Linked DNA regions of Macaca mulatta. The protein of the gene in region 3 binds, or shares a complex with, the protein of the main gene of each other region. Links are inferred from orthologs where the notes say so. Each region holds a gene or a part of one and is shown on either strand. Other genes may lie near its edges. The genes, in order: RCVRN, RHO and GRK1.

What was found.
Region 1: the proteins of GRK1 (region 3) and RCVRN are in contact, whole or in part, in an NMR structure (PDB 2I94), measured with the Bos taurus proteins. The link is inferred for Macaca mulatta from reciprocal best matches to the Homo sapiens genes GRK1 and RCVRN. Residues at the interface, in NP_776598.1 of Bos taurus: Phe3, Gly4, Leu6, Glu7, Val9, Val10, Ala11, Asn12, Ser13, Ala14, Phe15, Ile16; in NP_776590.1 of Bos taurus: Lys22, Trp31, Ser34, Phe35, Glu38, Cys39, Phe49, Ile52, Tyr53, Lys55, Phe56, Phe57, Tyr86, Leu90, Thr93, Ser94, Phe188, Glu189.
Region 2: the proteins of GRK1 (region 3) and RHO are in contact, whole or in part, in a cryo-EM structure (PDB 7MT8), measured with the Bos taurus proteins. The link is inferred for Macaca mulatta from reciprocal best matches to the Homo sapiens genes GRK1 and RHO. Residues at the interface, in NP_776598.1 of Bos taurus: Leu6, Glu7, Thr8, Val9, Val10, Ser13, Ala14, Ile16, Ala17, Ala18, Arg19, Gly20, Asp23, Ala24, Glu184, Asp185, Trp186, Phe187, Leu188, Asp189, Phe190, Val192, Arg195, Glu200, Gln205, Met206, Lys207, Lys221, Arg222, Thr256; in NP_001014890.1 of Bos taurus: Lys66, Lys67, Arg69, Thr70, Arg135, Val137, Val138, Val139, Lys141, Ser144, Asn145, Phe146, Arg147, Phe148, Glu150, His152, Leu226, Thr229, Val230, Ala233, Gln236, Gln237, Glu239, Thr243, Ala246, Val250, Met257, Ile305, Tyr306, Met309.

The regions. Positions count from the first base shown.
Region 1 is NC_133421.1:11,412,662-11,422,652, forward strand, and holds the start of RCVRN (recoverin), read right to left. Parts: upstream 4,700-9,991; 5' UTR 4,589-4,699; coding exon 4,208-4,588; intron 1-4,207. UniProt on the Homo sapiens protein: Acts as a calcium sensor and regulates phototransduction of cone and rod photoreceptor cells. Modulates light sensitivity of cone photoreceptor in dark and dim conditions.
Region 2 is NC_133407.1:154,393,213-154,403,213, forward strand, and holds the end of RHO (rhodopsin), read right to left. Parts: coding exon 9,714-10,001; intron 7,990-9,713; coding exon 7,821-7,989; intron 6,650-7,820; coding exon 6,484-6,649; intron 6,368-6,483; coding exon 6,128-6,367; intron 5,303-6,127; coding exon 5,192-5,302; 3' UTR 3,541-5,191; downstream 1-3,540. UniProt on the Homo sapiens protein: Photoreceptor required for image-forming vision at low light intensity. Required for photoreceptor cell viability after birth.
Region 3 is NC_133422.1:107,885,377-107,895,478, forward strand, and holds the start of GRK1 (rhodopsin kinase GRK1), read left to right. Parts: upstream 1-5,171; coding exon 5,172-5,870; intron 5,871-7,827; coding exon 7,828-7,955; intron 7,956-9,753; coding exon 9,754-9,911; intron 9,912-10,102. UniProt on the Homo sapiens protein: Retina-specific kinase involved in the signal turnoff via phosphorylation of rhodopsin (RHO), the G protein- coupled receptor that initiates the phototransduction cascade.

The DNA.
Region 1 (9,991 bases), on a different chromosome or scaffold from region 3:
ACGGGGTCTTGCTCTGTCACCCAGGCTAGAGTGCAGTGGTGCAATCATGGCTCACTGCAGCCTCGACATGCTGGGCTCAAGCAATCCTCCCACTTCGGCCTCCTGAGTAGCTGGGACTATGGTGCGCACCACCATGCTCAGCAAGTTCCTTTGAATTTTTTGTAGAGACAGGGTCTCACTATGTTGCCCAGACTGGTCTCAAACTCCTGAGCTCAAGCAATCCTTTCACCTTGGCCCCACAAAGTGCTGGGATTACTGCCTGGCCTAGGTGTCACTTTTCTAAACATTTTTTACACCTAGTCTTCACAATAACCGTATGAAGAAGGTATGATTGGCCCCATTTTATGGATGAAAAAACTGAGACAACTAACTTGCTGGAAGTCACCCAGCTAGAAGGAGAAGAGTGGAGATTTGAATCCAGGCATTTTGATTCTAGAATTGGTATCCTTGTGTTACGCTATAGGCCACTCACCTCCTTATCACTGGAAGGTCTTGGAGAGCGTTGGGCAAGGCTGGGGGGGAGGGAGAGGCATCAGCAAGAACTTTTCAGAGGTCTTCCCATGGTACAGCAAGACCCTCATTTAACCTTCTGCTCAAGGATGGATTCAGCGAAAGGCTTAGCTTTGGGCTCAAGGATCCCATCCTTCTCACCTCCCTCCCCTCTAATAAAGCAGTTGGTTATGCAATGTAGGGAAAGCATGAAGTGCCCCCAGACCTGTGAGATCAGGGAAAGGGACAAGGGGGCTCCATGCACCCTTCCAGCTTCAAGTTTCTAGGATTCCACTGGCTCAGGAACACCAGCGCCAGCTGGGTCCTGAAGGGACACCCAAGGTTGTAGGTCCTTGGATGCTGAGGGCAGGCAGGTATGTTGGGTGGCAGTTGGGAGGTTACTGGCTCTGGCCAGAGCCTTCTGCCTCCCTGGAGACACTTGTGAGCAGGGCAGGCAGGGGCAATAATGGCTGTGAAATTATCCTGGAGGGAAGGTCGATAGCTTTGAGAAGTTCCCCTTCAGCCTCCTAGTGCTGGAAAAAGGAGCAAGGAGACCAAAGCCAGCAGCCCAGGGCAGCGGCCTCACTGGCAGCACTCAGAGCTCTGAGCTGGACGCAAGTGTAGGTGGTTCCTACACTCCTATCCATCTGTGCAGGGCCTTGGGTACCATGTACAGGTGTGCCAGCCAGAAGCTGGGAGTGACTGCCTGCCCACCCCACTTCCAACACAGAGGGACAGACCTTCAGGGCCTCGGGAGAGGCTGCAAAAATAATCAAATCCTCACCCTGGGCCCAGGAAGGTAAAATGGTTTTCCCACAGCAACACCGCTAGTTGGAGTCAGAGCTGGGACTAGAACGCTTCACTTGTGACTCCCCCAGTCAGTGCTCTGCCCATGAACTTGTAATCTGGTGAACCGTAGAGCCTTCTGCCACCTTGTACAGCCCCAGCCATTGATGGCCTCTCCCTTCCTCCCTTTCCTTTCTTCTTTCTTCCTTTCTCTCCTCCTTTCCTGCCCCTTGCTTCCCCCTCCTTCCTTCCTGACTTCCACCTTCTCTCTCTCCCTCCCTCATTTCCCCCTCCTCCCTTTCCTCCTACTTTTCTTCCAGGAGTATCCATTTGTAGGCTTCTGCTGGGCCCCACATTGTTTATGTGGCTCTGAAGACTTAGTCCCTGTCCCAGGCAAGAGACCCCACAGCCAATTCGAGGGAGCTTTCTCTGCAGGCTGTGCCAAGATAACAATGAGGGAGACACACGCCTGCCGGAACGGGAGGCCTGAGCTGAGCACTGAGGATAAGCCCATGGACCACAAGCTGCACGCTTTGCTGTTTTATTTATGGTTTCTGCTAATAAGGGTGGAAAATTTTTGTGCATTTGTAATCATGCAAATGAAGGCATGATTACAAATGCATAACATCTGAACAACAGTCTCTACTAACAGGAATGGAATTAGAATAATAAAGCAAGTGGCAGGGGGCAGGGGGATTGAAAAAGAATAAGTAAAAAAAAAAAAAAATCAAATGAAGGAAATTAGAACTGGTATAATAGGAGAGAAATGGAAACAACCTAATGTCCAAAAACATAGGAATGTTCAATAATTTCCACATTTCCATAAGCCAGAATTCCAAGCAGCTATTAAAAGTGTTCTGGAAGAGATTGGGTGCAGAAGTTCACTCCTGTAATCCCAGCACTTTGGGAGGCCGAGGTGGGCAGATCACCTGAGGTCAGGAGTTTGAGACCAGCCTGGCCAGCATGGCGAAACCCTGTCTCTACTAAAATACGAAAATTAGCCGGGCGTGGTGGCGGGTGCCTGTAATCCCAGCTACTTGCGAGGGTGAGGCAGGAGAACTGCTCAAACCTGGGAGGTAGAAGTGGCAGTGAGCTGAGATCACGCCACTGCCCTCCAGCCTGGGCGACAAGAGTGAAACTGTCTGAACAACAACAAAAAACTGTTTTGGAAGAATATGTAATGATATGGAAAGCACTCATGATAAAAGAGTAACTGAAAAATGTATGATAAAAATCGTATGTGAGTATGTCATAGCTTTAACATTGTTTAAAAATTATATACGTAAAACACTGAAAAGGTATATACCGATATACTAAGAAAAGTTTTCCTTGGATGAGGCAATTTTTAATCTCGTTTGCCTAGGCTTCTAAATTTCATGAGTTACTTATACATTAGATGAAACATTTTCAAGACACCTAGAGGTTGGTGGAAAAGTAATTGTGGTTTTTGCCATTACTTTCACAACAAAGGATCTGACACGAGGACAGTATGGACGGGGGAGAAGGTGTGTTGGGAACCATGTGGAAGCGTGTATGCCTCACAGGGAACCTGTCAGGAGCTGGGGAGCCACGCCGTGCATGGCAAGTGCAGGCTCAAGGGTGGTACAGGCGATCTGCCCCAAGCTGGGGAGAACATGAGAACTAGAACTCAGAGTTCATGTCCCCAACTTTGACCTCTTTCTACTTTATATTTGAAGCATAGTGTGTTTAGAATGAATAGCGATTCAAGTTGAATGTGTACTGCCGAAAATTTCAAAGGGTATTTTAATAAAGGAAGGAAGAAACAAAGGATGGAGAGAAAGAAAAAAATGTAAATATAGTCATGTGTCGCTCAGAGACAGGAATACATTCCAAGAAACACATCTTTAGGCAATTTCCATGTGGGAACGTCATAGACAGTCCTCGCACAAACCCAGATGGTACAGCCTACTACATCCCTGGGCTCCATGGTCCAGCCTTTTGCTCCTATGCTACAAACCTGTGCAGCATGTGACTGTCCTGAGTGCCGCAGGCAGTTGTCATATGATGGTAAGTATCTGCACATCTAAACATACCTAAACATGTGGTAAAAATACAGTATAAAGATAAAAAATGGGCCAGGCACTGTGGCTCATGCCTGTAAATCCCAGCACTTTGGGAGGCTGAGGTGGGTGGATTGCCTGAGGTCAGGAGTTCGAGACCAGCCTGACCAACATGGTGAAACCCCATCTCTACTAAAAATACAAAAATTAGCCGGGCGTGGTGGTGTGCGCCTGTAATCCCAGCTACTTGGGAGGCTGAGGCAGGAGAATTGCTTGAACCCGGGAGGCAGAGGTTGCAGTGAGCCAAGATTGCGCCATTGCACTCCAGCTCTGGGTCACGGAGTGAGACTATCTCAAACAACAACAACAACAACAACAAAACACAAAGATACAAAATGGTAGAGCTGTCTAGGGCACTTACCATGAGTGGAGCTTGCAGGATTGGGAGTTGCTCTGGGTGAGTCAGTGAGCGAGTAACGAGTGAATGTGAAGAACTAGGACATTACCGTACACTACTGCAGACTTTATAGATACACTTAGACTACACTAAATGCATTTAAAAAATAAAGTAACTGTGCTATGACATCACTAGGCAATAGGAATTTTTCAGCTCCATTACAAGCTTATGGGACCACAGTGGTATATATGGTCCATACATGACCCAAACATCGTGAAGCAAAGCATAACATGGATGTATTAAGAAACATTCAGATTCTGCTTCAGGAAGACAACGAAGCTGTGGGTAAGTGCCCACCTGTCTATCAATATCAGCCTCTTGGAGCACCAGGCTCTCAGAGCCAGTGGCCTGAATCCCCCGCTCCACCCACAGCTCCACTCACTCTGCAGCAAGGGGCCCCCAGCCCCAAGTGACCCCGGCGCCGCCCAGCCAGAAGGGGAGAGGGGAGACTGACCATGACGATCTCCAGCACTTCATTCTTGCTGATGGTCCCGTTACCGTCCACGTCGTAGAGGGAGAAGGCCCACTCCAGCTTCTGGTTGGTCTTGCCCGCGGTGGTCATGTGCAGGGCGATGACGTACTCCTTGAAGTCCAGGGTGCCGTCGAGGTTGGAATCGAAACTGCGGAACACATGCTGGGCGTAGGCCTTGGGGTCGGTGTCGGGGAAGAACTTGGCGTAGATGCTCTGGAACTGCTGCTGGGTGATGCGGCCGCTGGGGCAGTCCTTCAGGAAGGACTGGTACCAGGAGGACAGCTCCTCCTCTGAGAACTTGGTGTTCAGCTGCAGCTCCTCCAGGATCTCCTTGGACAGGGCCCCACTTTTGCTGTTCCCCATGGGTGAGGAAGAGTGGGCAGCGGCTGCGGAGTCGCTGGGTGGGTGGGACGTGCGTGGTCCCCTGGCCGCAGGCTGGCGCTCAGGGCTGGTGTGAGCTGAAGATGGAGAGACTGGTGGCTTAGGAGGATTTGCGACCGGTTCTTCGCAATCCTTGAAGGGAGGAGGGGCCCAGGAGCTTTGTAGAGGTGGTGGGGGGATGCTCCCAGAACCCTACGGAGATTAAAATAAAGAGCCCAGGGCAGGCAGGCAATTCATCTCGGCCTCCTGGGAGGAGACTAGAACAGGACAGGAAGTTGGAACCTTCAGAGCTGGGGCCTCCTGCACCCCCAGCCCCAGCCCTCTAACGGCAGCCACGTTCCCTATTTCTCTTCCTCACTAACTCTGAGCATCTCAGGGCAGGGCTGGCATCTCACATCAAGCCCTAGAATGCAGTGGTTAGGAGCACAGGCTCTGGGGCCAGCATGGGTTCAAGTCCCAGCTTGGCTACTTAACTAGCTGTGTGGCCCCAGGCGTGTTTCTTCACCTCTTTCCACCTGGGACACTCTTCTAACCCTTCACTGCAGTCACGTCTCCGCTTAAATGTCACCTGCTCAGCCAGGCCTATACTGACCCTCTATCTATAATAGCACACCCCCCACCGTCTTCAGCACGCCCCATGTCCCCTCACTGGAATGAAAGCTCTAGGAAGGACAGGATTTTGTCTGTGTTGTTCCCAGATGCATTTCCATTTCCAGAACCTGATAGGCTTGGGCCCCCATTAAGCCTTTCTTGAATAAATGGGCATCATAGCATCTACCACACTGTCATTGTGAGGCTGATGTGAGTCAATATGGGTGACACACTTAGAACCTGGCACACGGCTGGCTAATGCTAAACACTCATTTTGTTATTGCCCATCAGTCACAGGGAGTGAAGGTGAACTGCCTGCAGGGACCAACAGGGGGCAGCCAGGCCTGTGTCACCTAGGGAAGGGGCTGCCAGCAAACGTGGTCACATGGGAACGTGAGTTTTTTTTTTTAATTAGTCAAGAGAAATCCAGAAATCAGAATTTTCGATGCAATTTCCACACTTTTCAACTGTGGCAATTAATTTGCAATTTAAAAAACATGGCTGGGCGCGATGGCTCACGCCTGTATTCCCAGCACTTTGGGAGACCGAGCGGGGTGGATCAGTAGGTCAGGAGTTTGAGACCAGCCTGGCCAACATGGTGAAACCCTGTCTCTACTAAAAATACAAAAAATTAGTGGGGCGTGGTGGCGGGTGCCTGTGATCCCAGCTACTTGGGAGGCTGAGGCAGGAAAATTGCTTGAACCTGGGAGGCAGAGGTTGCAGTGAGCCGAGATCGCACTCTTGCACTCCAGCCTGGGCGACAGTGCAAGACTCCGTCTCAAAAAAACAAAAGAACAACACAACAACAAAAACAAAAACAAAATCATAAAACATGATGTGGGCCAAACAAAATCTATCTGCGGCTCCATGGCAGGCTGCAGGGTGTCCATCTGCAGCGGACTTGGAGTAAGCAGGCAAGAAAACGTGTTTGCTGAGTGAATGGGTAAATAACTGAGTGATCAGAGACAGGGAGCTGTGCCAAGGCGGGCTTCGCGTCCCTGCAGCGCAGCGGGGAGTATCAAGCATGAGGAAGCACCCTAGTGAGGACGCTGCACACCTGGATTCTTGTCACCCAGAGGGAAGGGAGGGTGGGCATGCACTTTCCTTAGCGGCGCGCAGTGCTCGAGGGGACACACTCAGAACCCCAGCCTTGCCACCGTGGATAGAGAGTTCTTTTTTTGCCCTGGGGTACGAAGTATGAAGAATAAACCCCACAGTCTCTAGGCAGGTAAAGTGGTTTTTGTTTTTTTTAGACAGTCTCTCTCTGTTGCCCAGGCTGGAGTACAGTTGCGCAATCTTGGCTTACTGCAACCTCCGCCTCTTGGTTTCAAGCAATTCTCCTGTCTCAGTCGCCTGAGAATCTGGGACTACAGGTGTCTGTCACTAGGCCCAGCTAATTTTTTTTTTTTTTTGTATTTTTAGTAGGATTGAGGTTTCACCATATTGGTCAGGCTGGTCTCGCAAACTCCTGACCTCAGGTGATCCGCCTGCCTTGCATCTCAAAGTGTAAAGTAGGGATTTTAGCCTACTTACTAACAGGCTAGTGGCAGCGGAAGGTAGGTCCCTGCTGCTGGGAGAAAGCCACCTGCCAGGCCCACCTGATATCACTCTGGAAGGAGCGAGAGGTTCGGGCACCGAGGGCAGACTCATCTCTTCCAGCCACTGTGCACACGACAGTTTCCGAGACATCTCAGGAAACCTGCATGCTGGGGTGTGTGTGTGAACTTTCACATTTTTTTCCATCACTCTGTGAGGTTTTTGGTTTTTTGCTTTTTGTTTTGTTTTGTTTTGTTTTTTGAGACAGAGCCTCGTTCTGTTGCCCAGGCTGGAGTGCAGCGGCACAATTTCGGCTCACTGCAACCTCCACCTCGCAGGTTCAAGCAATTCTCCTGCCTCAGTCTCCTGAGTAGCTGGGATTACAGGCACTCACCACCATGCCTGGCTCATTTTTGTATTTTTAGCAGAGATGGGATTTCACCATGTCGGTCAGGCTGGTCTCGATCTCCTGACCTCATGATCTGCCTGCCTCGGCCTCCCAAAGTGCTGGGATTACAGGCGTGAGCCACTGCGCCCAGTGATAATATTACTTCTGAATAGGAGTATCTAGGCTTTCACCATCCTGTAGTATGCATTTATTCTCAAGAGCAGTTAGAAACAGGAGTCACCAGCCTTCAAACAAATGAACGAACCAAGCAAGCCCAAGCCACACCTTGGAATCGCATTCTCATCCAGTGCTTTCTTGCAGCCCTGAGGCAACCCTGGGCATGGAGGGAGAGTGAGGTCAGAAGCCTTGGCCCCTTGCTCTGAGCCACTAGTAGGAGGCGACTAGAAGTGCCTCCTGGATCACACCCCTGTCCACATCAAGCCTGCAGCAGATGAGGCGAGGCCAGTGTTACAGGTGAGACGTGGGGCCTCCCAAAGGCACGTCGCCAGCCTGGGGTCACATGGTTGCTAAATGGCAATGTCAGGAGGAAGGAAAGTCCAGATCTGCCAGGCTCTTCGTTTAGGCTTCCTTTGTCTACATTACAGGAGGCCTGAGCCTAGAGGACAAGTAGGTGAGGATGTGGGGTTGCCATGGCAATGAAAGAGGCCCTGGGCGAGGCAGAAGGCAGCCAGAGCCCTCCAGTCTTTGCTGTCCTCTCCAGGCACAAGGAGGAAGGAGCTGGACCCAGGTCGGAAGCAGCCTGGTACAGTCCACATTCTCCAGGTTGCTGTGCCCAGGAGGGGCCTCAGGGGATCGCAAGCAGCTGTGTTGATGCTCAGAGCAAGGGGTCATGACCTGGAGGTTTGTTTGAAAACCTGCATAAACATCTTCTATCAGAGGGAGAGCTTATGCTCCTTAGCCAAACAAGCTGTTGGACATGATGTATTGTGAGACGATTTGTTAAGTCTGATCTGGGGCCATAAGCTCTCCCAAACCCCAAAGTCTTCTCTAGAGAAGGCTTCATCTCCAGGCAGAGGATCCCAGGTTGCATCTCGCTCTCTTCGCTGCACTGAAAGATGCTTCCCAGAAGCCGGCCCTGTCCCCTCAAGCAGGAGCTCTATCTCGGCTGTTAGCTGGGACCCAGACCCCACCCTTTCCCCATTGCTCGACCTTGCCTTTTATGAGCTGAAGGCCAAGACGACCCTCCTGCCCTCTGGCCTGGAGCCAGCACCTGCAGAGAAGTCTGCATCGAGAGGGAAAAGGGGGTATGGAGGTGGTGGCGGGGGAGACAGAGAATGGGGAAGGACCCTCCTCCCACAGCTGTCCCCATTGCAGAAAATGACAATCCATCCTTTTGATGACTTGGATTGAGGTTCCTGGAGTCATTCTCAGTGTTTCTCTTTCAGTCACAACCCTCTCCAATCTATCAAGAAATTATCTTGACTCTGCCACCTTCAAGGTACAGCCAGAACCAGACCATTCTTCTTGCCTCCCTTGCACCTGCCTCATGCAGGCAGCGTCACCTCTGCCTCCTAATAGCTCTTCCTGCTTCTGCTCTTGTCCCCTTACAGCCCTGCAGTGAGCCCCACAGCCATGAAATCAGGTCATGCACGATGGCTGCCCACTTCTCCCCGTCAAAGCCAAAAGCCTGCAACAGGCAGCACTGGCCCTCATCCCACCATGTCTTGCAGGTGCCCTTTGGTACCCCCAAGAAGGGACGAAAAGGGGCGGGTGCCCTTTGTCTCTCTGCTAAGTCATCAGAGGTAAAATCATCACCAATCCCAAGAGCCTAGGGGGAACACCGAGACGGTCATTCGAAGAATATGGCAGCCCTCCACATTCCTCATCTGCTCTTCCCTCCTCACTCCCTCCACTCCAGCCAGGCGGGCCTCAGATACATGAGCATCTCTTCTGCTTGGAACATTCTCCTCCGGTGACCTTCTAGGGTCCCTCCCAGGTCTCCTTGTCTTTGATCAAATACCACCTTCTCAATGAGGCCACTCAAATGACCCTATTGAATACTGCAACATACCCACCCTCACCCTGTCCTGTTTTTCTTTTCCACAACACTTAACACCGTCCACACCCACATCACAGAACGTAGTAGGTCTATTATCTGCTAGAATGTAAGCTCCCTGAGAGCAGGGCTCTCCCTGATGTGTTCCCAGGACCCAGAGCAGTGTCTGGTATATACCAGATGCTCAGTAATTATTGAATGAATAAATGGATGGGCTGGACTTGGTGGCTCACGCCTATAATCCCAAGACTTTGGGAGGCCGAGGCGGACGGCTCACCTAAGGTCAGAAGTTCGAGGCCAGCCTGGCCAACATGGTGAAACCCTCTCTACAAAAAATATAAAAATTAGCCGGTCAAGGTGGGGCATGCCTGTAGTCCCAGCTACTCAGGAGGCTGAGGCAGGAGAATCACTTGAACCTGGGAGGCAGAGGTTGCAGTGAGCTGAGATCTCGCCACTGCACTCCAGCCTGGGTAATAGAGCGAGACTCTGTCTCCAAAAAAAAAAAAAAAAGAAAAGAAAAATAGGATGGATGGATGAGAAAAGAAACAGCCAGGAGCTCTAGAGACGGGAGGGAAGCAGAGGGCTGGAACCCACAGAGACAGGAAGTCACCAGGGGGAGGGGCCTGAGGCCAGAAGCATAGCGTCCATTTGGGCGCCAGTATCCAGATGCCCTTTGTCTCCCACTAAGTCATCGGAGGTGAAATCACCACCAATCTCAAGAGCCTGGGAGGAATGCCAAGACAGGTCACATGAAGAATGTGGCAGCCCTCCAGGAAAGAGGGTCGCCTAGGGGGACCCAGTGTCTCTGGACAGTTTATTTTACATGGGATGAATCTAAGCATCTCGAGGATAC
Region 2 (10,001 bases), on a different chromosome or scaffold from region 3:
GCTCATGTCTGTAATCTCAGCACTTTGGGAGGTTGAGGCAGGCGGATTACTCGAGCTCAGGAGTTCGAGATCAGCCTGGGCAACATGGCAAAACCCTGTCTCTACTAAAAATACAAAAAATTAGCCGGGCGTGGCAGTGCACTCTTGTAATCCCAGCTATTCGGGAGGCTGAGGGAGGAGAATCGCTTGAACCCAGGAGGTGGAGGTTGTAGTGAGCTGACATCCCGGCACTGCACTCCAGCCTGGGCAATAGACTGTGTCTCAAAAAAGAAAAGAAAGAAAGGAAGAGAAGAAAAGCAAAGGAAGAAAGGAAGGAAGGAAGGAAGGAAGGAAGGAAGGAAGGAAGGAAGGAAAATAAATTGGCTATAACTCCAAAATCACAAGTGACTTAAACAAGAAACCATGAAACTCTTCCCTCCTGAAACTCTTGAAGTATAAGTTGGCCAGGGCTGTTAAGACAGCATGGGGGAACCATGGTGAGACACACCAGAGAACGCTGCCATTCTCTGTCCTCAGATTCTGTCTCGTGATCTAATATGGGTGCAGAAGCTCCAGTCATCATGACTACCTTCCAGCCAGCAGGAAGAAAAGACAAGAGGAAAAGGAGGGCACTTCCATTCTCCAAAATGCACAACCCAGAGACTACACACATCATTTCTGAGTACCCTACAGTGACTGGACCTTAATGTCCTGCCACCACAGTGCAAAAGAAGCTGAAAGATACTGTGTTGTGTTGAGCAACCAGGTGCCCAGCTAGAACCTAGTATGATATTATTAACAGAAGGAAAGGGAATGAATATCGGGGCAGTTAGCACTTGCTTCCCCGCTTTTGCGAGACCCCCCTCTCTGTGTTAATCTCCTTACATGTCCATTTCCTACCACACAAGGGGCTGCCTCCTTTGAACTTAGTTCATGTCTCTGGGAAGGGAATTCACATTTATTGAATGTCTACTGTGCACAGCACCCTTTATACAAATACTCTCATTAGACCCTGTAGACAATTCTACCCAGTGGGATAATTCTCTCCTGTATAGCTGAGGGGCCTGAGTCTTGGAGCAATTCAGGGACTTGCCCAAACCAAGTACAGTGGCTCATGCCTGTAGTCACAGCACTTTGAGAGGCCAAGGCAGGAAGATCCTTTGAGGTCGGAAGTTCAAGGCCAGCCAGGGCAACATAGGGAGACTCCATCTCTACAAAAAATAAAAAATAAGTTGGGTGTGGTGTTGTGTGCCTGTGGTCCCAGTTACTTGAGAGGCTGAGACAGGAGGATTGCTTGAGACTGGGAGGTCAAGGCTACAGTGAGCTATGATGGCACCACTGTACTCTAGTCTGGGTGACAAAGCGAGACCCCATTTCAAAAAAGAAAAAAAAGAAAGAAAGAAAGAAAGAGAAAGAGAGAAAGAAAGAGAAAGAAAGAAGAAAGAGGAAGGAGGAAGGAAGAAGGAAGGAAGGAAAGAAGAAGGAAAGAAAAAGAAAGAAAGGAAGGAAGGAAGAAAGAGAAAGAAAGAAATAAAAGAAAGAAAGAAAGAAAAGAAAGAAAAGAAAAGAGGACTTGCCCTGAAGCTACATAGTTGAGAGGGGCACCCACTGTCTCCTTAGGGGGCATGCACTGTCTCCTTAGGGGGCACCTCAGGCTTTCAGGGGGGCATGTCTCCCTTGGCGTGAGAGAGCTCTGTGGCCATCTGAGTCCCCAGTGCATTCTGGCATGGGGTCAGCTTGCTCAGGTTTGATTGAATGGAGCTGCCATTGTACCTAAGAGGCTGTACCTCTTAGGTATCATTACAATGATAGAGATAGTCACATTGTACCTAAGAGGCTGTACCTCTTAGGTTGTACCTCCCGCTGGCTGCCTGGAGATGAAGTGTGGACAAACTTACTGCAGCTTAGGGCAGCAGCTCCTTCTCTTTATGTATGCAAGTGCCACTAAGCAACTGTCAAGTCATTTGTAAATTAAGGAGGTGGAGGCTTTCCTGTCTATCAGGACAAACGAGAGAATGTTCTGGTGTTAGAGTAAAATTTTCCTCTGGACATGAGGTTGGGGCAAATGTACCATTTCTCAGAAAAAGTGGACTGGGCTGGGGGTTGGGGTGGGGAGCTGGGATGGGCTCCCTGCAAGTCAGGACAGCTAAGATGCCACTGTCCCACCCACTGCCACCCTGGCCCAACACAGCATCCAAAACAAAGGGTGCCAAAACCTTTGGGACCACCCATAGGAATCTTCTCCCTCATGTCCTTGAGATGAGGAGACAGTGAGGCCTGGTCCAGCCATGTGCCCAGAAAATACCAACTTAGAGTCCATTCCCTCTGGGTTGATGCAGGCTCTGCTCACCCAGCCTCCTGCCCTCCTACTTCAGGTAACAGCACCTGGGCTTTCCTTTGTGAAACCTACCTCTCCCCATTCAGCCTGCTTGGGCTGCAGGGTGAGCATGTGACCTAGGTCTGGCCAATCAGAGGATGAATCCCCATTCCAGTCATGGTGATGCAGTTAGACCTGTGTATGCCTAGTGTTCCATTATTGGAACGCTAAGCATGTGTGAGTTATTTATATCTTACTGTTCAAGGTCATTGCCAAGGTCTGATTGCAAAAATCCAAAAAATTGCAACCTCAGGCATAAATGAGCCACATATGATCAGGTGACCTAGGCCTGGCCAATCACAGAATTAATCACCATCTCAGGCATGGTGATATGCTGTACCTGAAGCCCCGGGCTTTTTGGTCATGTGGAGCCAGCAATGTGTGCCTTTTGCTTCAGCCTAAATGAGCTGGATTTCCTGTCACTTGCAACCAAAAGTATCCTGACTGATATTACCTAGTGAGTCAGAGTAAAGAGGGCCAATGATAGAGATCCCAGCGCAATGTGCCCCAGCCCCACCAAGGCACCGAGGATCTGCTATCTCATGCTCCTGCCCTCCTTCCTCACCTTGGAGGAGGGGGTGACTCTCGGGAGCTACAGCTCCATCCTGTTCCCCTTTGGGACAGGGTCTATAGTGAGGCCAGCTCTGAACTGAGGCCCAGTATCGCCAAAGTCTCTCATCTGCTGCATGCTAGGCAGTAGGCTGGCCACTTAAAGTCCACAATCGCATCTAATCCCCTTAGGATCAGGTGTTTGTTTTTTGTTGTTGTTGTTTGTTTGTTTCGTTTTGTTTTGTTTTGTTTGGAGATGGACTCTCCCTCTGTTGCCCAGGCTGGAGTGCAGTGGCGTGATCTCGGTTCACTGCAACCTCTCCCTCCCGGGTTCAAGCGATTCTCCTGCCTCAGCCCCCTAAGTAGCTGGGATTACAGGCGCCTGCCACCATGCCCAGCAATTTTTGTATTTTTAGTAGAGATGGGGCTTCACCATATTGGTCAGGCTGGTCTCAAACCCCTGACCTCCTGATCTGCCCGCCTTGGCCTCCCAAGGTGCTGGGATTACAGGTGTGAGCCACTGTGCCCAGCCAAGGTCAGTTTTAAGATTCTCTTTTGCAGATAAGGAAGCTCAGAGAGGTGACAAAACTTGTTTGCAGTTTTATGGGTCACCTGTGACTCTATGACCCCAAAGTTGGGGTTTTTCTCATTCCCAGGGCTGCTTCCTCCACCTCTAGCCCCAGGGGACTCTGTGCTGCTTGGCTCTGCCCATTGCTCAATCCAGCCATCCCAGGGTCAGGGATCAGGTGGAAGCTGGCAGTTTCAATCTATCCTGTGGATAAAGAGTTTGAAAGCAACAAAACCCACCACCGTTAATACCAACATAGGAGCTGAGCTTTCAATGGCCCAATTTGCCTTAGTCTCCAGGCAGAGCTGGGTAAAGCTAGAGCTTCTGGCTTTGCCTATATGGAGAGGCGGGAGCAGTTACTGAGGCAGCTCAATTCTGACACCTCAGAGATGTGGCCAGCTTTCTGGAGCAGACTCTCCAGAATGGAGAATCGACTAGCAGCTGCTGAAGATGGGCTTGTCTGGCAAGGGAAACTGGAAACGGGGGCCCATGAACATCCCCAGGGAAGGTGGGCCCAGTGGAATTTCCCACTCTTTGTTTCTAAGCTCTTTGAGATAAGGATGACATCAGGGACTCAGCTGTTCATTAAATGTGGGCCGGTGAGCATATCTTCCAGAGGCTCCATGCTGTAGATGCTGGGGCCCAGGTGCTAGGGCAAAAGAGCAGGTAACTTCCAGAGGCTGAGAGAAAGGCGTGTCTCTCCATAAGCCACACTGGGAAGGGGAGGCACGGGGTCTGGGGCCTCACAGTAGGGGTGATACCCCAGGCCCAATCTCACCCTCACTGAGAACTTGGCCTTCATCGCCCCACTCCCCCAATGTTGTTTTTTCAGGTGTGATGACTGCATTCTGCATTCCTGTGACTGTCCTTGTCTGCAGCCCAGCCCCAGCCCTGGTCTGGCCTTGACGCCTAGCTAATTTTTAAAAACCTGCCCCGAGGCTGGGTGAAACCCCATCATCCGAATGCCCAGTCTCAGAATGTTCACAATCAGGAGGTGATAATCATAATAATTAACTAGTTACATTAATTGATGTTATTCACAACATGAACTAGAATCTGTACAGCTCTTGCTATTTACAAGGTGCTGAAACACACACATAGACACACACACACACACACACACACACACACACCTCTTTTGGTCCTCTCAGTAGCTGCGTGTCGGCAGGACCAGGAATCTGGGATTTCCATTTTATAGGGGAAGAAAGTGAGGCCCAGGGAGGGAAAAACAACTGCTCCTTATCATTAGCCAAGTATGAGTTGCTGCTGCTAAGAGGGTCTGAGAGGATAGATATGTTCTCCCTTCGCTTTCATTCCTCCATTCCTTCCTGCATCCATCCAGCATTTATTAAGCACCTACTGTGTGCCCCATTCTGTGCTAGACACTTATCCCTAAGCTGGGACACTTTTCCAGAAAGCAAGAATCCTCATGTTCCTGAAAGATGAGCTGGGAGGAGGAGGGGCACAGATCCCACTGGCCTTGGGGAACCTGGGACTCCAGATCAGTAGGTGTTGGTGGATGTCCCTTCTCAGGCTGTCCCGGGTGAGTGAGGAGCCTCATTTTTCTCTCATTAATTATTTCTTTAAAAAAAAATGAAGGAGCCTATGTGACTTCGTTCATTCTGCACAGGCGCTGCTCCTGGTGGGATGGCTGTGGCTGGGGGAGGGTGTGGGGGACGGGAGACGCCTACAGTCGGCCACAGCGTCCTAGGCAGGTCTTAGGCTGGGGCCACCTGGCTAGTCTCCGTCTTGGACACGGTGGCAGAGGCCTCATCGTCACCCAGCGGGTTCTTGCCGCAGCAGATGGTGGTGAGCATGCAGTTCCGGAACTGGAAGGCAAGAGGCTTGAGTCAGGGCCAGGGCTGCCCACAGTGTGCTTGGAACTGGCACGTTAGTGAGGTTTGCCCCAACCTTTTCCCTGCTTCTGCCCCTCACAGTTCCAGCGCCCCGTCCACTCAAATCTGGCTTCCTGGAGGAAACTTGCTAAGCAGACGCTCCTCACCCCTAGAGATGCCAGGGACCCAGCACGAGGGGGCTGTGTCGCCCATGACATTTCATGGTGCCCTCTGTGTGCCAAGGGTGTTCTGTAAATTATCTCCTGTAATCTGAGAGTTGGGTGTTTTGCCCTTTCTATGGATGAGGAAACCAAAGCACAGAGAGGGGAATTGACTTGCATGGGGTCACATAGTTAGAAAATGGCAGAGCTGACTTCAGAGACTGTTTACCCCAACTTCTGAGTTCCTTGGAGAGGAACCTTTACCCCTTTACCCCTTTACCCCTCAGAATAAGACTTTTTAGCTCCTTATTCAGCTTTATGGAGACTGGCCCATCCATTCCCCTCTTGGGACCTTCTGACTTTGACATTGGGCTTCCAGAACTATCTGGACTAGAGCTTCTCCCACCTCAGTGAGCATCTGAGCCACCTGTGGAGAGCTTGTTGGAAATGTAGGTTCCTAGGCCCTCCCTGAGATTCAGCAGATCTGGGTGGGGCCAGGAATCTGCATTTCTCACACACTCCCCATTGAGACTGCTGACCCAAGACTGCTGCCAGTAGCCCTGATGGAGCCCCCTCCCCTGCCCTGGGACGCAGTTTGTCCTTGGCAGGCAGTGCCTGTGGTCTGGGACACTGGGGCCCTCCCACCCGCAGTAGGCACCTGCTTGTTCATCATGATATAGATGACAGGGTTGTAGATGGAGGCGCTCTTGGCAAAGAACGCTGGGATGGTCATGAAGATGGGACCGAAGTTGGAGCCCTGGTGGGTGAAGATGTAGAATGCCACGCTGGCATAGGGCACCCAGCAGATCAGGAAAGCGATGACCATGATGATGACCATGCGAGTGACCTCCTTCTCTGCCTTCTGTGTGGTGGCCGACTCCTGCTGCTGGGCAGCGGCCTGCAAGACAAGGGGCCCGGGTCCAGACCATGGCTCCTCCAGGGAGCAGGAGCCGCAGATACATGCTGGGGGCTGGACTGTCAGAGCCGTGAGGCTGGCCACTCCCCGGCCCATACCTCCTTGACGGTGAAGACGAGCTGCCCGTAGCAGAAGAAGATGACAATCATGGGGATGGTGAAGTGGACCACGAACATGTAGATAACAAAGGACTCGTTGTTGACCTCTGGCTTGAGCGTGTAGTAGTCAATTCCGCACGAGCACTGCAAGCCCTCGGGGATGTATCTGAGGACGGGCAGGTAGGGAGAACCCGCCTGTGAGGGACTTGGCCAAGGCGCCTGCCGAGCGCTGGCCCTTTCTGGGGCTTCACATTCCCTTCCTGGAAAAGGGGATCATAAGCGTCTGCATGGCTGGGTGACAGGATGGAATATGGATCAGATGGGGATGCAGACGCACCTTGTGGAATCAGTGTCGCTTCACTGGTGGCTGCGGTACCAGATGATACCACTCAGCCTCTCCCGGCATGCCCAGCCCCAGCATCCACTGCCCTCTGAGCCTAGGGTTATGCCAGGCAGAGGTTGGTGAGGAGGAGGGGAGGCTCTGTATTTGAGGCAGTTTGTATAAACTGAGGTTTTCCTAGCCCCAGGGCGAGAGTATTTTCCAGGTCAAAGATGGACACACAGGGTATCTAAGGGATCTTTGTGCAGCTTCTGGAAACAAGAGGTTTCCAGGGCACATTGTTAGGATGTGGCAGTGGTTCCTGATATTGGTGACAGTTGACTGGCCTCAGGAAACCCAGAGCGTCCAGAGGCTGTGCTTCCGGAGGATGGAACCAGATTGGAGAAGATGGGGAAAAAGTCCAGCGGGGGGACTCAAATTCAGCAAGGGGTAAGAAATGGACCCTAGCAAGACTGAGGAGGAAAAGGAAGTGAGAGTGGGAATTTTCTGGAGACAGAGGGACATGAGGCCTCAGGGGACCAGAGTCACCGGTCCTATTGTCCAAACCACTGTCCCCACTGTGTCTCATCTCAGCCCCATTTGGAGACAATCGCCTAGAGGCTGAATGGGACCCAGTTCCCAAGGGCCACAATATGGCCACCAGCACTAGGAAGGTGTGGCCTCCCCTGCTGCTGAGGCCCAAGGTTAGAGGGGGCTGCCCCCAGGGTACTAGACCAAAGAGGATTGGAATTTGCGCCTGGCTTAGTTGAGGATTAGGGGCACAGCCAAGGTGAAGGGTTGGGATGTCTTGGATTCTCTTTTACATAGAGCTCAGGAGATGGGACCAGCGCTTTTAGCAACATTAGAGTCTATTTCTTCTGCCCTACACCCCTACCCTGGGTGGGCATTTGGGCCAGGAGACATACAAGGCCAGTGCCTGGAACCAGACACTACTGGGTTTGAGTCCTGACTGGAGGACCCTACAAAGAGCCTCTTCCCTTCTGCTCAACGCCATTACCTGGACCAGCCGAAGAGGGGGGGTGCGGCGCAGGCCAGCGCCATGACCCAGGTGAAGGCAACGCCCATGATGGCATGGTTCTCCCCGAAGCGGAAGTTGCTCATGGGCTTACACACCACCACGTACCGTTCGATGGCCAGGACCACCAAGGACCACAGGGCGATTTCACCTGCAAGGCAGTCAGCAGGCTGTCAGCAGACCCCACTGCCTGTCTAAGGAGGGTGCACTCCCCCTAGATAGGAAGAGGGTAGCTAGGAAGGCAACCAGGAGTGGGAGAGGGACTTGAGGAGGCCTTGGGGAAGAAGAGAGCTTGGCACTGGGAGGAGTGGGAAGGGGCAGAGGGACCACATGCTGAGGAGGGCTGGGCAAAGAAGCTCCAGGGAATGGGGGAAGTTATTTGCTTAGTGCTCTGGGTCCATGAGGGACACGAATCAGATCAGGGGGTCACGATTGGACTGAGAACCCGGTAGGGAGTTGTGGGGTTTTTTGTTTTTAACAGAAGAATGCATCCTAATGTGGGGCAGAGTTCTTTGTTGGGCAGGAATGCAGAGGTGGCGGAAACCCAGAATTGGCAGTCCTTCATCCCTCTCTCTTCTCGGGAGATGAAACAACATGGGCAAGTGTGGCCCTCTCCTAGGAGCCATGAAGCAATGGGCAATGCTTTGCCCAGAGGAAGAAGAAGGAAATGATGAAATTGAGACATCTGCCCTGCTCACCACCCCATGAAGTTCCACAGGGAGAGTGGCCATATAGTTAATCAGCCAAACTGGGACATTCCTAACAGTGAAAGGGACAATAATTGTAAACTGGGACTGACCCTGCAGAGAACAACCATCCGTATGTGGCACACCACCTTCTGGCCAGAACTGGGTGATCTGTGATTATTTGATGTAACAAATACCCAACAATGCCAGAGATTCCCTGAGAATGGGACCGAGGAGGCAACCTGGACATGGGGGAGAGAGGGCAAGGCTGGCAGGGTGATGCTTGTGACTGGTGGTAAGCTCTCCTCGTCACCCAGCTTTGCAGTGGCTGCCGCTAACATCTCCTCCATCTCAGCGGAGATATTCCTGGATCACAGCCAGGAGACCTAGGCTGTTGTTGCTGCCTGGCCACATCCCTAAATAAGTCTATTCCCTTCTCCCTGCCTCAGTTTTCCCCTCTGTTAAGTGGGATCTGTTATCCCTGCAGCACCCCCATCTGTTTTCCTGTTAAATGCAAGACATTATTCTAAAGCAAAAAGCAGCTGCTTCAGAGGGGCTGCATGCAGTTCTCAACACCAGGAGCCTTGGAGCGCGGCATGGAGGCTAGAGGGGCACCCGGGGACGGGGGGCTGGGAGGGGAGGCAGAGGATGCCAAAGGGGACCGAGCCCATTACCCAGCACAGGGAAGACTCAATGACTGGAGAATGGAGAATCCACTTCCTACCCTGGGCTTGGGCCCCCAGAGAGGAGGGGTCTGGCTTGCCCAGCTCTCTCCTCAGTGCCCAGCCTGGGTCTGACCTGTTTTCCGAGGGAAACAGAGGCTTGGTGTTGCCAACACGGCCCAAGATGGATGCAGGCTTCAAACTCAACTCTGCCCCCATCCCATTGTGACCCCCAGCAGGGCACTTGACTTCTTTGAGCCTCAGCTCAGTTTTCTGGCTGTGAAATTAGATAAGTGCATGTTGCTCCAGGTAAGATCAAGGTAGCGTTCAGAGCCAGCCCTGCACAAACAGCAGCCCAGCTATCACCATGAATGGTGTTTGTTGATGAATATATGAGGGCCTTGGGTAACGCTGACAGGAGAGGAGAAGGGAGAAGGCCTCTCAGCCACTACCGCCAAGCCCGGGACTGTCCCAGATCCCTCCATGCTCCCGGGCTCCTGCAAGCCCCACCCGCACCCGGCTCATACCTCCCAGGGTGGCAAAGAAGCCCTCCGCATTGCATCCTGTGGGCCCGAAGACGAAGTATCCATGCAGAGAGGTGTAGAGGGTGGTGGTGAAGCCACCGAAGACCATGAAGAGGTCGGCCACGGCTAGGTTGAGCAGGATGTAGTTGAGAGGTGTGCGCAGCTTCTTGTGCTGGACAGTGACGTAGAGCGTGAGGAAGTTGATGGGGAAGCCCAGCACGATCAGCAGGAACATGTAGGCGGCCAGCATGGAGAACTGCCATGGCTCGGCCAGGTAGTACTGCGGGTACT
Region 3 (10,102 bases):
AGGATTCAAAACCCAATCAGTGTGATCCACCACATTACCAAGCTGAAGAAAAACCACACAATCATATCAATCAGTGTAGACAAAGCATTTGATGAAATTCAGCTTCCATGTGACAAAAGCTCTCAGCAAACCAAGAGTAGAAGGAAGCCTGTTCAACTTGATTAAAAGCACTGACAAAAAACCCACAGCTAACAGTATGCCCAATGGTGAAAGATGAAACGTTTTTTTACCCCAAGACCGAGAACAAGGCTCCCTCATTTTTATCCAACATTGTACTGGGAGTTCTAGCTAGAGCAATGAACAAGAAGAGGACATAAAAAGCATGAATGTCAGAAAGGAAGAAATAAAACTGTCCTTATTTGCAGATAACATGAATGCTTATGTAGAAAATCGCAAAGAATCCATAACAAAACTCCTACAGCTCATAAGTGAGTTTAGCAAGGTCTCAGGATATGAGATGAGGGCGAAGAAATCCACTGTACGTCTATATAGTAGCAATAGGCATATGGATACCAAAATTAAAAACACAATACCATTTATGATTGCTCAACACCAAGAGGAATATTTAGGTGCTAATCTAACACGACATGTACAGGACTTGCATGCTGAAACCCATGTAATAGTGATGAAAGAAATAGAGTTTGAATAAATGGAGACACACACCATGTTTACAGTGTGGAAGACTCAACATAACAAAGAGATCAGTCTCCCCAGATTGATATATGGGTGCAACATAATTCCTATCAAAATCCAGGCACAATGTTTTTGGTAGATACATACAAGATTATTCTAAAATTTATATACAAAAGCAAAGGAACTAGAATAAGTAAATATTTTCTTGCATATTTTGAACATAGCATTTTTTTAAACATTTTTTGAAAAATTTTTTGAAAAACAAGAATAAGATGGGAAGACTCAGTCTACTGAATTTCAAAGCTTATTATGTAGCTATGGTACTCAGGATTGTAGGGTATGGTCAGAGGGAGACACATAGATCAATGGAACAGAAGAGAAAATCCAGAGGTAGACCCACACAATATGTGCAACTGATTTCTGACAAAGGTGCAAAAGGAATTCAATGAAGCAAAAATAGCCTTTTCAACAAACAGTGCTGGAGCTACTGGATATCCATTGGCCAAAGTGGGAGGAAAAAGACCCTCAACCTCTTAAACCTTCTACAAAAATTAACCCAAAGTAGATATGAACATAAATGTAAATTGTAAAACTATAAAACTTTTAGGAAAAATATGGGAGAAAATCTTCAAGATCTGGGGCTGGACAACACCAAAAGCACAATCCATAATATTTATATTCAACAAAATTGAAAACTTCTGCTCTGTGAAAGCCCATATAGAAAGGAGGCAAAGACAAGCTGTCAGTGGGAGAGGATATTCAAAAACCGTGTGTCTGACAAAGGACTAGTATCTGATATTGATAGAATCTCAAGACTCAGGAAAGCAAACAATCCAGTTGTTACATGGTCAAAAGATGTGAAGAGACATGTCACCCAAAAGCACACACAGGTGGCAATCCACACATGGAAAGGTGTTCGACCACCATTAGGGAAATGTAAGTTACAACCGTAAGGGAATACCCCACACCTACCAGGAGAGCCAAGATAAAAGACCGTGGCAGCGCTAAACTCTGGGGAGGATCCTGAGGAAGGAGCTGCTCCCCCATGGCTGGTGGGAATGTAAAATGGCATGGCCACTCCAGAAAACAGCTTGCCAGTTTCTTCGAAACTAAACGTGCAATTACTGTGTGCCCCAGCAACCAGCAACGACACTTTTGGGCATTGACCCCAGAGAAATAGAAACATATTCACACAAAGGCCTACACAGATGTTTGTAGCAGCTTTATAGCTAAACACAGGAGATGACCCAGGGGTCCTTCAACCGGTGAACGGCGAAACAGACCGTGACACCCTCTGTGGAGCACAACTCAGAGACGAGCAGGAGGGCATGGCTGACACCTGGAGAACGGTGCAGAGTGAGAAACGCAGATCCTGAAAAGCTACGTAGTGTCTGACTCCATTCATATAACGTTCTTGGAGAAGTCGTGGTTGCCGGGCGTTGAGGAGGGCGGGCTGGAGGAACGTGGGTGCATCTGCGAGTGGCACAGGAGGGTCCCGTGGATGGAGGCGGCCTTTGTCTCAACTGTATGGATGTCAATATATTCGCTACTTGGCAAGAGTCATCATTACAGGAGACGGAGTTAAGGATACACAGGATCTCTCTGGATTGTTTCTTAACACTGCATGTAAATCCACAACTATCACAGAATAAAGAGTTTAAAAAGGGATTTCCAGGGCCAAATGAATTTGGGGAACGACATACTTTACTTCTCTTTGAGAACCATGTTCACCCTGAAATCACTGAATAAGCTCTGTGATGGGCATGTTTAACATATTTTTAACTTTGTTTATTTAACATATTTAACTTTATTTCACCGAACGCTTCCCAACATGAGTGCAGGTGGAACAGCCCCCAGTCCAACAGGAAGCCGTCCTCCTCAGACCCCGCATCTCTGCAGCATCAGCACCACCTGTGAGCTTGTTACAGGTGCACAGTCTTGGACCGCCCAGCCACTAAAGCAGAATCTTTATTCCAGCAAGGTCTCCGGGCGATTCGTGTGTGTAGCTGTTTGAGGCATGGCCTAGGATAGGCCGGGAGACATCAGCAGAGACGGCTTCACTTCACAAAGCACCATAGTTGCCCCACTGAGTGAGCAGGCAGGAAGGAGTTAATGTGATTGGCCCAAGGTCACCGCTGTGAAGGGCAGGGCTGGGCCCGTGCAGGGCTCCTGGCGGACGATGGGATATCACTCACCTCAAATATTTACTCGTGATCCACCTGCCAAAGCCCTCGGGAGGCCGTGGGGACATCAGCTCAGTCCGCAGGCCCTCTCTTCAGCCTCCTTGGTCGCTACAGAGGACCCTGCCAGGTGCAGCCCCAGCACCCTCCCACAGGTGCCTCTTCTCCCACGTGGAACGGGGTGGGCTGACATTCTCAACCTCTCCACACTCTGGCATTCTTCCTTTCTGTGACCGTTTGCTTCCTCCCTGTGTGAGCTGGAACCAATCCCCTGCTAACTTCCTCCTCGTTCTTCTCTAAACATTTATTGAGTACCTACTGTGTGCTGGAATAAGGCAGGGCCATGCCCTCATGAAGCTGACACTCCTATTTGCGTAACCATCCCCAGGTGTGTCCCAGGTGTGTCTGAAGTGTGCCCAAGCTGTCTCAGGTGTGCCCCAGCTGCATCCCAGGTGTGCCCCAGTTGCATCCCAGGTGTGCCCCAGTTGCATTCCATGTGTGCCCCAGGTGTGCACTAGCTGTCCCAGTTGTGTCTCAGGTGTGCCACAGTTGTATACCAGGTGTGCCCCAGCTGTCTCAGGTGTGCCCCAGCTGCATCCCAGGTGTGCCCCAGCTGCATCCCAGGTGTGCCCCAGGTGTGCACCAGCTGTCCCAGGTGTGTCTCAGGTATGCCACAGTTGTATCCCAGGTGTGCCTCAACTGTCTCAGGTGTGCCTCAGCTGTCTTAGGTGTGTCTTAGGTGCATCCCAGGTGCATCCCAGGTGTGCCCCAACTATCTCCAGTGTGTCTCAGCTGTGCCCCAGGTGTGTCCTAGGTGTGCCTCAGCTGTCTCAGGTGTGCCCCAGGCATATCCCAGGTGTGCCCCAGCTGTCCCAGGTGTGTCCTACGTGTGCACCAGCTGTATCCCAGGTGGATCTCAGGTGTGCCCCAGGTGTGTCTCAGATGGGTCCCAAGTGTTCCTCAGCTGCATTTCAGGTGTCTCAGGTGTGCCCCAGGTACAGCCCAGGTGTATCCTAGGTATGCCCCAGCTGTCTCAGGTGTGCCCCAGGCATATCCCAGGTGTGCCTCAGCAGTCCCAGGTGTATCCTACATGTGCACCAGCTGTATCTCAGGTGTGCCCCAGATGTGTCCCGGGTGTGTCTCAGGTGGATTCTGGGTGTGTCCCAGGTGTGTCCCAGCTGTCCCAGGTGTGTCTCAGATGTGCCCCAGGTGTGCCACAGCTGTGTTCCAGGTGTGTCTCAAGTGGATTCCGGGTGTGCACCAGGTGTTCCCAGGTGTGTCTCAGCTGTTCCAGGTATGTCCCAGATGTGCCCCAGGTGTGCCACGGCTGTGTCCCACATGTGTCTCAGGTGGATTCTGGGTGTTCCTTAGGTGTGTCTCAGGTGTGCCCCAGGTGTGCCCCAGGTGTGTCCCAGATGTGCCCCAGCTGTACCCCAGCTGTCCCAGGTGTGTCCTAGGTATGTCCCAGGTGTGCCCCAGGTGTGCCACAGCTGTGCCCCAGGTGTGTCTCAGGTGTGCCCCAGCTGTATTCCACATACGGCCCTCTGAGTGGAGCCTTGGTTTGGTGTAGCTCCGAGGATCTTCTGCTCCCTGGTCCTGGTGTCACCAGCAACTGTCTCTTGACAGTCCTGCCTTGCTTGCAAACCCCAGGTGAGAAGAAGAAAAATAATTGGGAACTGACCCCTCAGTAAGCACTGGTGGTCTCACCTACAGACCCCCAGGAAGCTGGTCATTGTGGGCTTTTTTCCTCTAAATTCCTATTATCAGGTGGTTTTCTTCTCACTTGCTATTTTCTTAAAAATAAAAATGAAATATAGTAGGGAAAAACAGCCTTTGTAAATTATGGTTTCTCCTGGCACCACCCTCTCCTGTCGGGCCCACATCCCAAGGAAAGAGCAGGCTTGAGCCTGGCTGCTGAGGCCAGGGGGTGGACGAGGCGGTTCAGAACAGAGCTCTGAGTGCCTCTCCAGCCGGGGGCCCCAGAAGCCTGGGAGTTATTTGTCCGTCTCGGGAAAAGCGAGGCGGCCCCTTGGAGGAAAGGGCCGGGCAGAATGAGCTAATCGGATTCCAAGCAGCTCAGGGGATTGTCTTTTTCTAGCACCTTCTCGCCACTCCTAAGCGTCCTCCGTGACCCCAGCTGAGATTTAGCCTGGTGCTGTGTCAGCCCTGGGCTCCCAGGGGCTTCCCAGTGGTCCCTAGGCACCCTCAACACGGCCAGGGCATCTCCCTCGTCCAGCGAGGGCAGGGACGGGCCACAGGCCAAGGGCAGCGGTCGGGCCTGCTCTGCTGTGAGCACCGCCGGCTTGGCCTCGGCCGATGGGCCCTCACTCCTGAAGCGGGCAGGAAGCCAGCTCCGGGATGGATTTCGGGTCCTTGGAGACCGTGGTGGCCAACTCTGCCTTCATCGCCGCCCGAGGCAGCTTTGACGGCAGCAGCTCCCAACCCTCCCGGGACAAGAAGTACCTGGCCAAGCTCAAGCTGCCCCCGCTGTCCAAGTGTGAGTACCTCCGTGACAGCCTCAGCCTGGAATTTGAGAGCGTGTGCTTGGAGCAGCCCATCGGCAAGAAGCTCTTTCAGCAGTTCCTGCAATCAGCAGAGCAGCACGTGCCAGCCCTGGAGCTCTGGAAAGACATCGAGGACTATGACACAGCAGACAACGACCTCCAGCCACAGAAGGCCCAGACCATCCTGGCCCAGTACCTGGACCCCCAGGCCAAACTCTTCTGCAGCTTCCTGGATGAGGGGATGGTGGTGAAGTTTAAGGAGGGGCCCGTGGAGAGCCAGGACGGGCTCTTCCAGCCCCTGCTGCAGGCCACCCTGGCACACCTGGGCCAAGCCCCCTTCCAGGAGTACCTGGGCAGCCTGTACTTCCTGAGGTTCCTGCAGTGGAAGTGGCTGGAAGCCCAGCCCATGGGGGAGGACTGGTTCCTGGACTTCAGGGTGCTGGGGAAAGGGGGTTTTGGGGAGGTGTCGGCCTGCCAGATGAAGGCGACCGGCAAGCTGTATGCCTGCAAGAAGCTGAACAAGAAGCGACTGAAGAAGAGGAAGGGCTACCAGGTGAGCAGCGCGGCCCAGCCAACAGGGATGGGGCAGCAGGGTGCAGAGGGCCCCCAAGTCGCTGTCGGGCTCCGTGGCCCTTAACAGCTGGTGCCTCGCCAGCCTTGCCATGTGGGCGCCCTGCGGCCGTGCAGTCACGGGCAGTTCCAGTCCATGTGCAGAAGTCCCTCCTCGGAGAGGGACCTCCACATTTTTGGGTGGGGACATCCCTCCTCGGAGAGGGACCTCCACATTTTTGGGTGGGGACATCCCTCCTCGGAGAGGGACCTCCACATTTTTGGGTGGGGACGTGCCACCTTTGCTCGTCAGCTTTTCACCAACCACAGACTAGCCTCAAGTGTGGGGGAAAGAGGACCTCTCAGGGGAGGCTGAAGAGGGCAGGGTCTCCGGATTCTTTGCCATGGCCGTGGAAGACTTTCCAGGGACCTGGCTCCTCTGATGGCAGTGAATGCAGGAGGAAGTGAGGCAGGACGGAGGCAGCCTCACTCCGATGACACTTTCTGTGAGGAGAAGCCTGGCGTGACACCGGATGCAGGAACTATTCCCCTGACTGCGCTGTTCTTGGGGGTGGGAGTGAGCGACGGGCACGCAGGCCACGCTGTTTCATCCGCTCTGCCCACTGGCGTCAGACTGTGCATCTGGGGCAGGATCAGCAGAAGCTGCTTACAGGTCTTAAGGGTGAGAGGCAGCGGCTGCACCGGGTGTGGACGTGATCTCCCGAGCCAGCCCCCTGCACTTCGGCTCCACGCAGCTCCTGGCCCCTCTCCCACCGCGCAGCTGTGTTGAGGGCACAGGAAACTCTTAGGGTTAAGCAGCAGCCGCTGTGCACCCTGGCTCTGCAGGGCCTCAACCCTTAGTGAAGGTGAAATACCAGGTGGTCATGGCGCTGGGCAGAGGCCCTGGAATATCCGTGTGTTCTTGCCGTGGAACTCGGGGTGGGTAACTATGCCACGTGGTTGTAGCAGTAATTTTTTTTTTTTTTTTTGAGACGGAGTCTCGCTCTGTCACCCAGGCTGGAGTACAGTGGCCGGATCTCAGCTCACTGCAAGCTCCGCCTCCCGGGTTTACGCCATTCTCCTGCCTCAGCCTCCCGAGTAGCTGGGACTACAGGCGCCCGCCACCTCGCCCGGCTAGTTTTTTGTATTTTTAGTAGAGACGGGGTTTCACCGTGTTAGCCCGGATGGTCTTGAACTCCTGACCTCGTGATCCGCCCGTCTCGGCCTCCGAAAGTGCTGGGATTACAGGCTTGAGCCACCGCGCCCGGCCTGTAGCAGTAATTTTTTAAAATTAGCTTTCTTGACATCTAATTCCCACACCATGCCATTCACATCTAACTGTAAATTTAACCCAACAGTCAGCCTCTTCTCCTGACTTCCATCACCTAACTGAACTCCATACTGACATCAACTGAACACCTCCCCCAGTGTGAATGCACAGAAAGGGGCCTCCGACGTCAGGAATTCCCTCTTCAAAGAGGGGTGTGCTGTCCTTATCCAGACACTTACAAACTCATTCAGTGGAGCATTGTGAGGTTTTAAAATAAAGACAAAACGAAGCAGAGTGGTGAGGTGGTTTGGGAGGTGCTGGTCTGTGATCCCAGCCCACAGGGGCCTAGACAGCAGGGAGGGCTGTGGCTGCAGGATTGCTGGGCAGGCAGGGCTGGCGGGGTCCTCACCCATGTTGCTCAGCCGTGGGGCTTGAGCCTCCCCTTGCCAGAGGCTGGCCCGGAAGACCAGAAGTCCCCTGTGTGAAGGAATTCACACGTCTGGTTTTCTGAAATGGGGGTACAGACATGTTTTGAAGTCATTTGCAATTGCTCCGTGAAAGGCGCATTTAAAGCGTGTTTGCGACTAGTGGCTGTGTGTGCAGTGGGCGTGGCCGTGTGCACACGGTCTCTACAATGCACTGGTCCCTTTCCTATTCAAAGCCATCACATACTCATCGTCTCACTTTTCAGGGTGCTATGGTGGAGAAGAAGATTCTGATGAAAGTGCACAGCAGGTTCATTGTGTCTCTGGCCTATGCGTTTGAAACCAAAGCTGACCTCTGTCTGGTGATGACCATCATGAACGGAGGCGACATCAGGTAAGGGCTGGTCCAGAGGGCGCCAGGGGACCCTGCTGTCCCACTGGGTCAGGGTTTCCGGCGGCGGGGGGCCCGATGGGGCTGCTTCCTGTGTGTAGAGCCATGGTGGCCCGAGGCCTGCCCTCGAGGGAAAGCCTTGCACCCATCACCGTCCCCTTCTCGCTGTCGGTAGGCGCCGGTTCCTGAAACAATACACCCTGGACCCACATTGGTGCAGGAGCCTGGGAGGCGCCCAACCTGACAGCCAGGGCACCTCCTTGTGTGTGGCCCTGGTGTGGGTGTGGGGGGCACGTGGTGCTGTGGGGGACGCATGATGCAGTGCAGGGGCCTCTGCAGGGCTGAGGGCCTTGCACCAGGAGAGTAAATGAAGATGAACTTCACCAGCGCCCGCCCATTCCTGGGGCTGACGCTGGAGCTGGAGACAAGATCAGGCCAGCTGGGGCCATGGCCTTGCTGCTTTCTGGCAGAGAGGAGGTGGTGCTGCCTCCACAAAGTCCTGGCCCCGGATCCATCACCGAGGCAGGCGCCAGGCCCGTGTGGGAGATCAGATCACAGGCTCGCTTGGTACCTGGGCCGCTTAGCCATTGCTTGGTTCTGTTTCCTGGTCTATAAAATGGGAAGAGATAATATCTAAGTTGAAAGATTGTTTGGCCAGGCGCGGTGGCTCAAGCCTGTAATCCCAGCACTTTGGGAGGCCAAGACAGGTGGATCACAAGGTCAGGAGATCGAGACCATCCTAGCTAATGCGGTGAAACCCCGTCTCTACTAAAAAAATACAAAAAAACTAGCTGGGCGAGGTGGCGGGCGCCTGTAGTCCCAGCTACTCGGGAGGCTGAGGCAGGAGAATGGCGTGAACCCGGGAGGTGGAGCTTACAGTGAGCCGAGATCCCGCCACTGAATTCCAGCCTGGGCAACAGAGCAAGACTCCGTCTCAAAAAAAAAAGAAAGATTGTTGGAAGATTAACAGTGTCTGATACCCCTAAGGTTGGGGATGGGCAGGGGCCATGGCTGTGGTTGGCAGCACCATGCCCCATTCTCACCTGCTTTTAATTTCCAAGGAAACTCCTTCAGGTGAGGCTGGTGGCCCATTTTTCAGATGAGGAATGTGAGTCCAGACTAAGTCACCATGCCAGGTGCCCAGGCGGAGGGGAGGGGGCGCCGGGAAGCACACACACGGGGGTGCCCAGGCAGAGGGGAGGGGGCGCTGGGAAGCTTAGTCACAGGGGTGCCCAGGGAGGGCCTGGTGGCTCCGGCCGCCTCATGATCCACCTGGCTCCAGGGCCTCCTCTCCTGTTTCCTGCGACTATACTCCTGGTGCCACCTAGTTTAAATAGTTTATTTTATTTGTTAGGTTTTGCTTCTTGCAAAACCTGTCCACGGAAAACATAAGAAATGATGTTTTATGGGGGAGGAAAGAGGCTGAGAAGAAACACCTTGCTGCAAATCCTTCACGAGTCTGATGAACTCGGGGCCTGCGGAGCTCCATCCCGCCTCGGCCTGGCCTCTTCCTGAGACGGTCTGGGCTGTTTTCCAGCACCTGCAGCCCACGCCAGGAAGCATGGGGACAGGAGACACACGTGGACGGCACTTTCTCCCCGTTAGCCGTTGGGGTTCGGGGTCCCTGAGCTGCTAACGCCGCCAGCCACCATGGCCTCGGGGTCTCCTCTGCAGGGACGCTGGGGGGCCAGGCCTCAAAACGACCAGAACGCTGGCTGGTTCTGAGGTCCCCACTCTGTCTTTCCATGATTTTACTCCCCATTAAACCCGGGGCACATGGCTCCTGCGTGTCTGCCCCCAGGTACCACATCTACAACGTGAATGAGGAGAATCCCGGCTTCCCGGAGCCGCGTGCCGTCTTCTACACGGCGCAGATCATCTGCGGCCTGGAGCACCTGCACCAGCGGCGGATCGTCTACCGCGACCTCAAGCCTGAGAACGTGCTGCTGGACAACGACGGTAGGCGGCGCCCGCGGCGGTGAGGGATGGGGGCTCCGAGGACGGCGGGGCGCAGCTTCCCTGGAGGTCTCTGCACAACCTCACGAGGGTTGACAGCTGCGTGGACAGCGGGGGTGTCATTGGGCACCAGGAGTCACGGGAGTGAGTGCAGGGGTCTGCGGTGCAGAACTAGCTGGGAATGGTGAGTCTGC